Linked DNA regions of Oryzias latipes. The protein of the gene in region 1 interacts with the protein of each later gene in a biochemical or structural test. Links are inferred from orthologs where the notes say so. Each region holds a gene or a part of one and is shown on either strand. Other genes may lie near its edges.

Region 1 (4,308 bases):
GTTTTAACATTTCTCATTTATTCAGAGCATAAAAAATCAGGCAAATTGGAAACATAAATAAATAACTTCTGGTCAGTCAATTCAGAAAACTAAATCAATAATTCATGCAGAAGGAAATTCTGAAAATGTAAGTAACATTTTGAATGCCCTGAATAAAAATCACAGATTTCACCATCCTAGATGCAGAACAAAAAAGAGGAAAACAACATTTGTCCATATCAAAGAACTATAGTACTGCATAGAATGTGTGTTTTTTTAGGGTTGTCAATTTTGTTTAATGGATCTACATGATGTAATTTTTCCCCCCCAAAAAATTATTTCTGCAACTTCAAAAGGAATTGCCCATCTGGGACAAATAAAGTTGTTTGAATTGAACTGATTTGAAAAAAGAAAGAACACTTCTTTAAGAGAACCTTCAGTAACATCATTTGTTGTGTTTACAGTTTGCCAACAACAAAAAAATTACTGTTCTTAAATTCTTCTTGGCTAAAAATATAACAGTTGTGAAAACCTTTAACTTATGTAAGAAAACAACTAAATTACCTCTGAGCAAAAAGTGTTCTGTGTAAGTATACTATACTTACTGGTAGTCCATACAAAAGGTGAGGACGTATTCTTGAAGTCTACTTTTAATGTGCTATCTTTATAATGTAAATTTCCCACTGTGCTCGTCCCCAGCCCCAATAACACACAGGGTTGTGTCAGGAAGGGCATTCTGCGTAAAAATCTCTGCAAAACCACCTGTGTGAATCAGTGAAAGCTAATTCTCTGTGGCGACCCCTGAAGGGACATGCTGAATGGTGAACAAACAATCTATTGTAAATTTAAAATGTTGCAGTTTAATCTGAGTATTTATTGGTATTTAGTTAGGATAATTCCCACACTACACATAGATGGTCTGTACTTGCTATATTTAGCATGTACTTGGTAAAATAAACTGCAGGTTTACTACATTTTGCTGAGGGACTTAAAACATCAGGCATGCAGCAAAAAATAAACATGCAAACAAATCAAAATAAAAACAACTATTTAAAATGACATCACAATGTTTTCTGAGTGTTGGTAGATTATTTATTTATTTATCTTTTTATCTATTTAGTTTGTTTTAAACAGAAAACCAACAGAAGAAAATCCACTCCTCGCAGTGTAAAACGCACTGATGTTCGTTCTATGTATGCTGAAATGACAACATACATTTTCTTGTTTTCTATTGGTCAACAAGGAAAGCTACTTTAGTAAGAGGCTATGTGATTGGTTGCTTTTATCCGGGGACTTGTTTGCTTCAATAAAACGACGTCTGATTGGATATGGTCACTTTTTGTGATGTATCATTGGCTATGATTACACCGCGGGTCCTTGAATCACCCATACTGCAATGTAGAAGTCACCGAAGTTGCTAAAAAAAAGTCCGTTTGTAACGTTGACGTTCAGAACGTCCACAGTACTCAGACGTCATGACATCCGGGGATTTGTCGAGCGTCCTGAACATCCTCCGGTCGCTCTACAAACGCACGCGGACGCTGGAGGAGTTCGCTGACGGCGTTGTGTTCAGGGAGGGACGGAGAGCTGCGCTGCTTCAACCTTCGGACACACACAGCTTTAAGTCTTTCGTTCGGGGAGTGTTTGTGTGTTCTGATGAGGAGCTGCAGGACGTCCCGAGCTGTAATCAGGTAATAATCCCGTTATAATCTCTGGAGAAGATCTGATTTCTTTTCTCTGCTGGTTTCACGAACATTTCTGAATTTATCTGAAGTGTTACGTAGCATCAAACCGTAATAACGTATTTATACTCACTAATAAAACTGGCTGTGCCATGACTCTTATTGATCCGAAATATGGTGCTAATTGTTCTCTTATTTGGGCTAATCTCTTAAATTTTGACAAAGCTTTGTGACTAAATTCCGTCTGGAAATTTCCTGGACACGTGCCCGCTTTTTTTTCCTTCATGTTTTCTCTTTAACCTCCTCAGACCTGCACGTTTCCAGAGCTCCTGGCTTTTATCCTCAACAGCCTGAAAAGGAAAAGGAGGAGAAATGTTTTGGCCCACGGCTACAACTTCCTGGGTGTGGCACAGGAGGACCGGGATGCAGACCACTTCCGCTTCCAGGGAGATCTGTCTCAAAGCGCCGCCTACATCCACAGCAGCGACCTGTGGAAGAAGGTCACGGCGCGCCTCGGCACAGACGTCACCCGCTACCTGTTGGGGAGCTGCTCCGTCTTCGTGCTGGCACCTCCTTCCTGCGTCTTCCAGATCTGCGGCGTTCCAGCGTATGACAGAGTGTCCATGACCACCGCCTCCAGCGGGTTTCTTCTCCGGCCTCCGTCGAGGAAACACAAAAGTTTTCAGGTCGGAAAGAAGACACGCTCAGCGAACCTGACAAAGACAGGCTCCGTTGGAGATGTGGAGGAAAGCAGGAAGAGGAGGAGAGTGGAAAGTGAAGTCAGCACGAGGAAAAGAAAAAGAGAATCTGAGGAGGAGGAATCAAGAGAAAGGAGGCGCGGCGTTCATCATGAAGAGAGACGGCAGCATGAAGCCGTTCTTGATGAGTCAACACTTTCAGGAAAGTCTGGAGAAAACGATGCAGCTGCTGTCAAGCCGCCTCCTGAAACGTCAGCAGCTCCTCCGCCTTTGGAGGGAGGTCCCAGCTGGAGATCGGGGGCGTTCCCGCCTTTGCCGTCCTCCCAGTGTTTTATCCGCACGTTGGGGTTCCTTTACGGCGGCCGTGGCATGCACGGCTTCTGTCTCAACAGGAAGAGGAGAACCGCTGCTGGACCCAGGCGCTTACAGGGGCAGGATTTGGTGAGACTGGTCTTCTTTGAGGGTCTGCCGTATTTAAACGGACAGGAGAGGAAGCCGAAGAAACTCCCCCTGCGCTACTTTAACATGGTCCCGGTGTTTGGCCGGCTGCTGCAGAGGCACAGAAAGTGTCGCTACAGCAGCGTTTTGCACCGGATGTGTCCAGTGGTTGAGCTGAGCCGTGCGGCTCAGGGGGAGCTGAGCTCGCTCATCCCTCAGCACTGCGCGCCGCATCGGGTCTACCTGTTTGTCAGAGAATGCCTCACCGCCGTCGTCCCTGAGGAGCTGTGGGGCTCCGACCACAACCGACTCCAATTCTTCAGCAGAGTCAGAGGCTTCCTGAAGAGCGGCAAGTTTGAGAGAATCTCGGTGGCGGAACTCATGTGGAAGATAAAGGTGATGGACTGTGATTGGTTGAAGCTCCGCAGGACAGGTGAGAGGATTGGAGAGGATCTTCTGTTTGGTTCCTCTGCTGTTTTCATGAAAGATTCTTCTGAATCTCCTGTAGCAGGCCGCTTCCCCCCCAGTGAGCTGGCCTACCGGACGCGGATCCTGAGTCAGTTTCTGACCTGGCTTCTGGATGGCTTTGTCGTGGGCCTGGTCCGGGCCTGCTTCTACGCCACAGAAAGCGTGGGACAGAAGAACGCCATCAGGTTCTACAGGCAGGAGGTCTGGAGCAAACTCCAGGATTTGGCTTTCAGGTTCAGACTCTCCAACACAAAACCTCCCCTCGCCTTCGGATCAGCCTTTGGAACCATACCTGTGTTTATGTGATAGAAGGCACATCGCTAAAGGCGAGATGGAGGAGCTGAGCCCAGCTCAGGTGGCGTCCCTCCCCAAAGGCACGGTCATCTCCCAACTCCGCTTCATTCCCAAGACGGACGGGATGAGGCCCATCACACGGGTCATCGGGGCAGACTCAAACACACGGGTGCACACAGACGAGATCTCCTCTGTCCTCTCTTAGCATGCCGGGTTCCTAAACGTGACCTTCTCCACAGCTTCACCACAAGCGCATCCGTGACCTGATGAGCATGCTGCAGGCGCGTGTGCGCTCCGCTCCGGCGCTCCTGGGCTCCACCGTCTGGGGCATGACGGACATCCACAAAGTGCTGCGCTCTCTGGCACCAGCCCAGAAGGACAAACCACAGCCGCTCTACTTTGTAAAGGTGAACCTTGTCCTTCCAGGAACATCCGATGTTTTCCTTTCTCCACCCGTCTCTGACGGGCTCACCTGTGGGTTGGGCTGAAGGTGGATGTGAGCGGCGCCTACGACAGTCTGCCGCACGACAAACTCAAGGAGGTGATCACCGAGGCTTTGTCACCCGTCCAAGAGGAAGTCTTCACCGTCCGCCACTACGCTAAGATCTGGGCTGATTCCCACGAAGGCCTGAAGAAAGCCTTCGCCAGACAGGTGCAGATCCAGAGGAAACTTGGAGAAATGACTTTGAAGTGGAGCGTAAACAGAAAAATCCTGTTTGTTTCCAGATGTTTGCTTCCTGTTTTGATGC
Region 2 (4,426 bases), on another chromosome or scaffold:
ATCCAACAATTTTATGTTGAAAAATGTAACAGATGTTAACTTCAGCAAGCAGTTAAAACCCTAGTTAGATCACATTTATGAATCATTGTGGAACTAGTTTTTAATAAAATAATAAACAAAGAAAATCCGTTGTAATCAAGTGGAGTGAGTGGGGGAAAAAAACAAATTTCCAAATGAAGCAAGATGTCACAACTTTTGCTTTTTGTTCATTTGAACTTCCACTGGAACTCGACACGAAACGGTAAAAACAGCTGCCTATACAAAAACGTGGGACAGAGTTTTATCGTGTACAAGTATTTTTTCCACTTGCTGCATGTCTATTGAGTTTTCTTGGGTGCACAGACCTCACAGCGCTTCTTTACGTTTCTGCTGACCACAACCTAAAATAGCAAAAAGATCAGACACGTTTGTAACATCTCTTTCTTGCAAAGTAAAAGTCAGACATTTATTGCAGCAGCACCACACGGTTACTTTAGGCCTGGCAGATGGTGGTTGGGCGGTCGGGTGGATGGGGCACCAACATTCTTCTCATTTGGACTGGTAAAGTATAAATAACTATAACTAGAAATTATAAGACGGATAATGATAAGTATGTAAAAAAAAACTCAAACAAAGCATAATAGGGGTGGGGGTATAAAAAAAATAGCCGAAACAGAACACTAATGGGGGGCCTTTCTGTGTGGAGTTTGCATGTTCTCACTGGGCATTTGTGGGTTTTTGTCCTGTTCCTCCCACTGTCCAAAAATATGTTTCATACGTTAATTGGTTACTCTAATTGTCTATGGGTGTGAGTGTGTATGGGTGTGTGATTTGTGGCCCTGTGACAGACTGGCGACTTGTCCAGGATGCTTTCCCTGGCCCCTGCAACCCGTGACCCCAAGAGGGACAAAGTGGGTTTAGAAGATGAATAAATGAATGAAGGAGCTTCCTTCTACTCTTTTTTAAACAATTAATCAAATTCTTATTGACAAACTGAACATGTAATGGATTGAATGTGTCATGCTGTGCGTGTAAGTGCAAATGTGCTTATATAAGGGCGTCATTTAGTCCTGTGTATATAAATGGATGTGTATCTTTTTATTACTTTTTTGTCCTATCAAATTCTGACTAATTGTCCTAAGTCTGATATGTCTGTGTATAGATGTATACTTTTGTGTTTGTCTTTTTAAGTATTTCCTTTTTTATTTTGATTCCTGAAAATAAACTTATTCCAAAAAGCTGCTGTTCTTGTCCTCTGAGGATTTGAGGTCTCACAGCGCCTTTCCCCTTTTTAATTAAATTATTTTTTTAAATAATCATTTATTTACTTTAGTAACCCAGAATTATTGTAAATGTAGACTATTTTAAAAATAACGCTATTTAAAAAAAAGGGGGAGGGGGTGCTTCGGAACGGGATCACGTGCAGAGAACGTCACGTGACTCCTTCGTCCGCAGCGTAAGCGACAGGAGCCGAGGAGCGACAGTCAAGGACGTGATGAAAACTCTGTGAGTCTTTCCTATAGTTTCATTAAAACGCGTATTATACATAAATATTAAGGTTCTGGTTAAATATGTAACAGTTGGATTTACCGCGCGGAACCTTGAGTGTTTTACTCATGGTGACCCACATTCAGCCACCGCTGACCTTAAAAGTCCAGCACAATCGAATCGTATCGTGAACAGCATAGATAAAAGCAATATTTATGTGTTCAGAAATAACCTTTTTGTCATGATCCACTTTTACTCAGAACGTTAAAATACACTTTTATATTGTGATTTGCTGTTCGGAGCTTCCGGGTTCACGTGGGCTGCAATTTTCTTCACACTAAAATAACTTGGTTTTTTTTTTGTTTTTTCTACTTCTGCAGACTTTTCTTCTCCATCCCATTTTTATTCAGCTCTTTGGTTTGGAGCGGATATCTGGAATATGACCAAGATGTCCTGTGAGCAACATTTAAAATGTTTTGTTGTTTAGATTTTTTTGTGGTTTTCAAGTTCTGTTGTGAACTTTTTTTTGTTTAGTTTGAGACCTCCAGATCAACTATGTTAGAATTAGCTTTATTTTGAAAGGGCAACTATCAATAATAGATATCAGACAAAAAAAAAAGTAAATAAATTAACAATCATCACTAATTTATACCCATATTTCATCCTGTTCAGATGTTTAGAGCTTCTCTTTATAGTTTTTTGTTTATTTAAAAAAGCTGGGTGCGAAATAAAAATAATTTAAAAAATAGCCATAGGATCACCTTCTGGCTGTTTTTCTAATTTTTATTTCTATCATCCTTTGATCATTTATAAATGCTTTAAATCTGCAGGATTCCAGAGGGCTGGACCCATGCGGGTCGAGTAGACCCGTCAGAGGAGCTGGAGCTGACCTTCGCTCTAAAGCAGCAGAACGTTCATCTGCTGGAGGAAACACTCAGACTGGTGTCAGACCCAGACTCAGCTCAGTACGGTAAGCAAGCTTTAGCCTGCACAAATCTCATTCGAACCTTCCAAATCATGGGTCACAACTTCCTGCTCCCCAGGTAAATATCTTAGCCTGGAGGAAGTAGCTTCGCTTGTGCGACCGTCTGAAGTGACCCAGAAGGTGGTGCGTCGCTGGCTGCAGAGTCATGGGATTTCAAACTGCCTCACTGTTCACACTCAGGACTTTATGCAATGCACCATGACTGCAGAGTAAGCTATTTTTGTTCTTTCTACACCGCTAAGCTGCAGTCATCACAGATATAGGCCTTCATCTCTGTGGAAATGTCACATAAAAACACTTCTCCCTTTTGTCTTGTGACACAGTTCCTCTTTTGGGGTTCATAAAAATCAATTTTTATTCTCAGTTCACGGAAAATCACAGATCAGATCTCGGTCAGAGTTGTTACCCGAAACACCTTTAAAATTGCACATCTTCGTTAAGTTATCAGTCATCATAACTGATATTTTTCTTGTAGAGGTTATTGTTTGTTGTCAACACTAAAGTGGCTTTTGTTGTTTTTTTTTCTCTAAAGGGTTGCTGAAAAGCTACTGCAAGGAAGCAGATTCCATCATTACATCAGAGACGGCCAGTCTTTGACGAGATCCTCAGCTCCGTACTCGGTTCATGATGACGTTCACCCACACCTTGATTTTGGTAATGACATTTCTCTCAACTACAAAATGTTTTGCCTTGAAACTATTTTGTTGGTTCAGTTTAACCCATAAGAACCCATGATGACATCAGTGCAACAGAAAAATATCAGAAATGGATTCTGTGGTCCACTTTGTTTGTGGTAAAATAGTCATAATTTTATTTGTACGAAATATAATGGCTCTGGGTTCTTATGGGTTAAGGTTCAGGGCTAATATTGGTTCTGAAACCCCGCAGTTGGAGGTCTTCACCGTTTCCCACCGAAAAGCCAGGAACCCAGAGAGAGACGCCAGCACTTCAAAGCGGGGCTGCATCTCGGAGTGACGCCTGCCATCCTGAGAGCTCGCTACAATCTAACGGCAGCCGATGTGGGATCAGCTCAAAACAACAGTCAGGCTGTCGCTCAAGTACGACTCTCAGATGAAGTTCTGATTGGTTAAAGCACTTTTACATTTTTCTAAACAGGTTTTCACTTCTCTTTTTAGTTCTTGGAGCAGTACTTCCACCCCGCAGACTTGGCGGAGTTCATGAACTTGTTTGGCCGGACGTTTCCGCATATGTCTCAGGTGGATCGAGTTGTTGGTACCCAAGGTGGAGGAAAGGCGGGTCTGGAGGCCAGTCTGGATGTAGAATACATCATGAGCACAGGAGCAAACATCTCTACTTGGGTCTTCACCAATCCAGGTCTTTAAACTTTGCTTTCGATCTCAGAACACGAGGAGGCGAACGTGTACATATCTCTGTTTTTGAATTGGAATGGATTAATCTATTAGTGGTTAAAAAGGAACCACAAAATGAAGCACAAAGATATCCTAACATGAAATATCCAACAAGATAGATGAAGCTAAAAACCTTGAAATTAAAAATCGATGTTCCTAGTGCAGGGTTCTACAGCCTTCAACACTTAAAGAGCCATTCGGGTCGATTACTTAATCACCACAACCAAGTAGGAGCCACAAAGTTTTACTTCACCCCTTTGAAAAATAAGACACTTATTCGTATTAATGCAATTGTTAGTATCAAATGGCAGCCAAAAACAGCCTACCCTACTTTTTTTTGCCTGTTTTCTCGTGATAACGACATCTGCTATTTTTTTATTATAAGAAAACAAAAGTCCAAGTTCCAAGCGATACGCAGTCCTTCCATAGGTCACCTCTCCTGGATCATTCTGTAACCGTGTAAACGGCCTGATCCCCTCATCTAGCCGCTGAGGAAACCGCAGGATCGCTGAACTGCAGCCGCCTGCGAAGCTGCAGCCGGACCAACCTCCTCCTCAAAAGAAGACAAGTGATTGGATGTTGTTAATGAGCAAAGCGACAACAT

Evidence for each region.
Region 2: the proteins of tert (region 1) and tpp1 form a complex in vitro, tested with the Homo sapiens proteins (2 studies listed by BioGRID and IntAct). The link is inferred for Oryzias latipes from reciprocal best matches to the Homo sapiens genes TERT and TPP1.

What each region holds. Positions count from the first base shown.
Region 1 is NC_019869.2:25,701,921-25,706,228, reverse strand, and holds the start of tert (telomerase reverse transcriptase), read left to right. Parts: upstream 1-1,212; 5' UTR 1,213-1,454; coding exon 1,455-1,670; intron 1,671-1,969; coding exon 1,970-3,230; intron 3,231-3,305; coding exon 3,306-3,498; intron 3,499-3,574; coding exon 3,575-3,728; intron 3,729-3,798; coding exon 3,799-3,966; intron 3,967-4,049; coding exon 4,050-4,211; intron 4,212-4,308. UniProt on the Homo sapiens protein: Telomerase is a ribonucleoprotein enzyme essential for the replication of chromosome termini in most eukaryotes. Active in progenitor and cancer cells. Inactive, or very low activity, in normal somatic cells.
Region 2 is NC_019880.2:11,941,691-11,946,116, reverse strand, and holds the start of tpp1 (tripeptidyl-peptidase 1), read left to right. Parts: upstream 1-1,387; 5' UTR 1,388-1,474; coding exon 1,475-1,485; intron 1,486-1,847; coding exon 1,848-1,922; intron 1,923-2,297; coding exon 2,298-2,437; intron 2,438-2,510; coding exon 2,511-2,661; intron 2,662-2,984; coding exon 2,985-3,106; intron 3,107-3,340; coding exon 3,341-3,510; intron 3,511-3,588; coding exon 3,589-3,787; intron 3,788-4,426. UniProt on the Homo sapiens protein: Lysosomal serine protease with tripeptidyl-peptidase I activity. May act as a non-specific lysosomal peptidase which generates tripeptides from the breakdown products produced by lysosomal proteinases. Requires substrates with an unsubstituted N-terminus.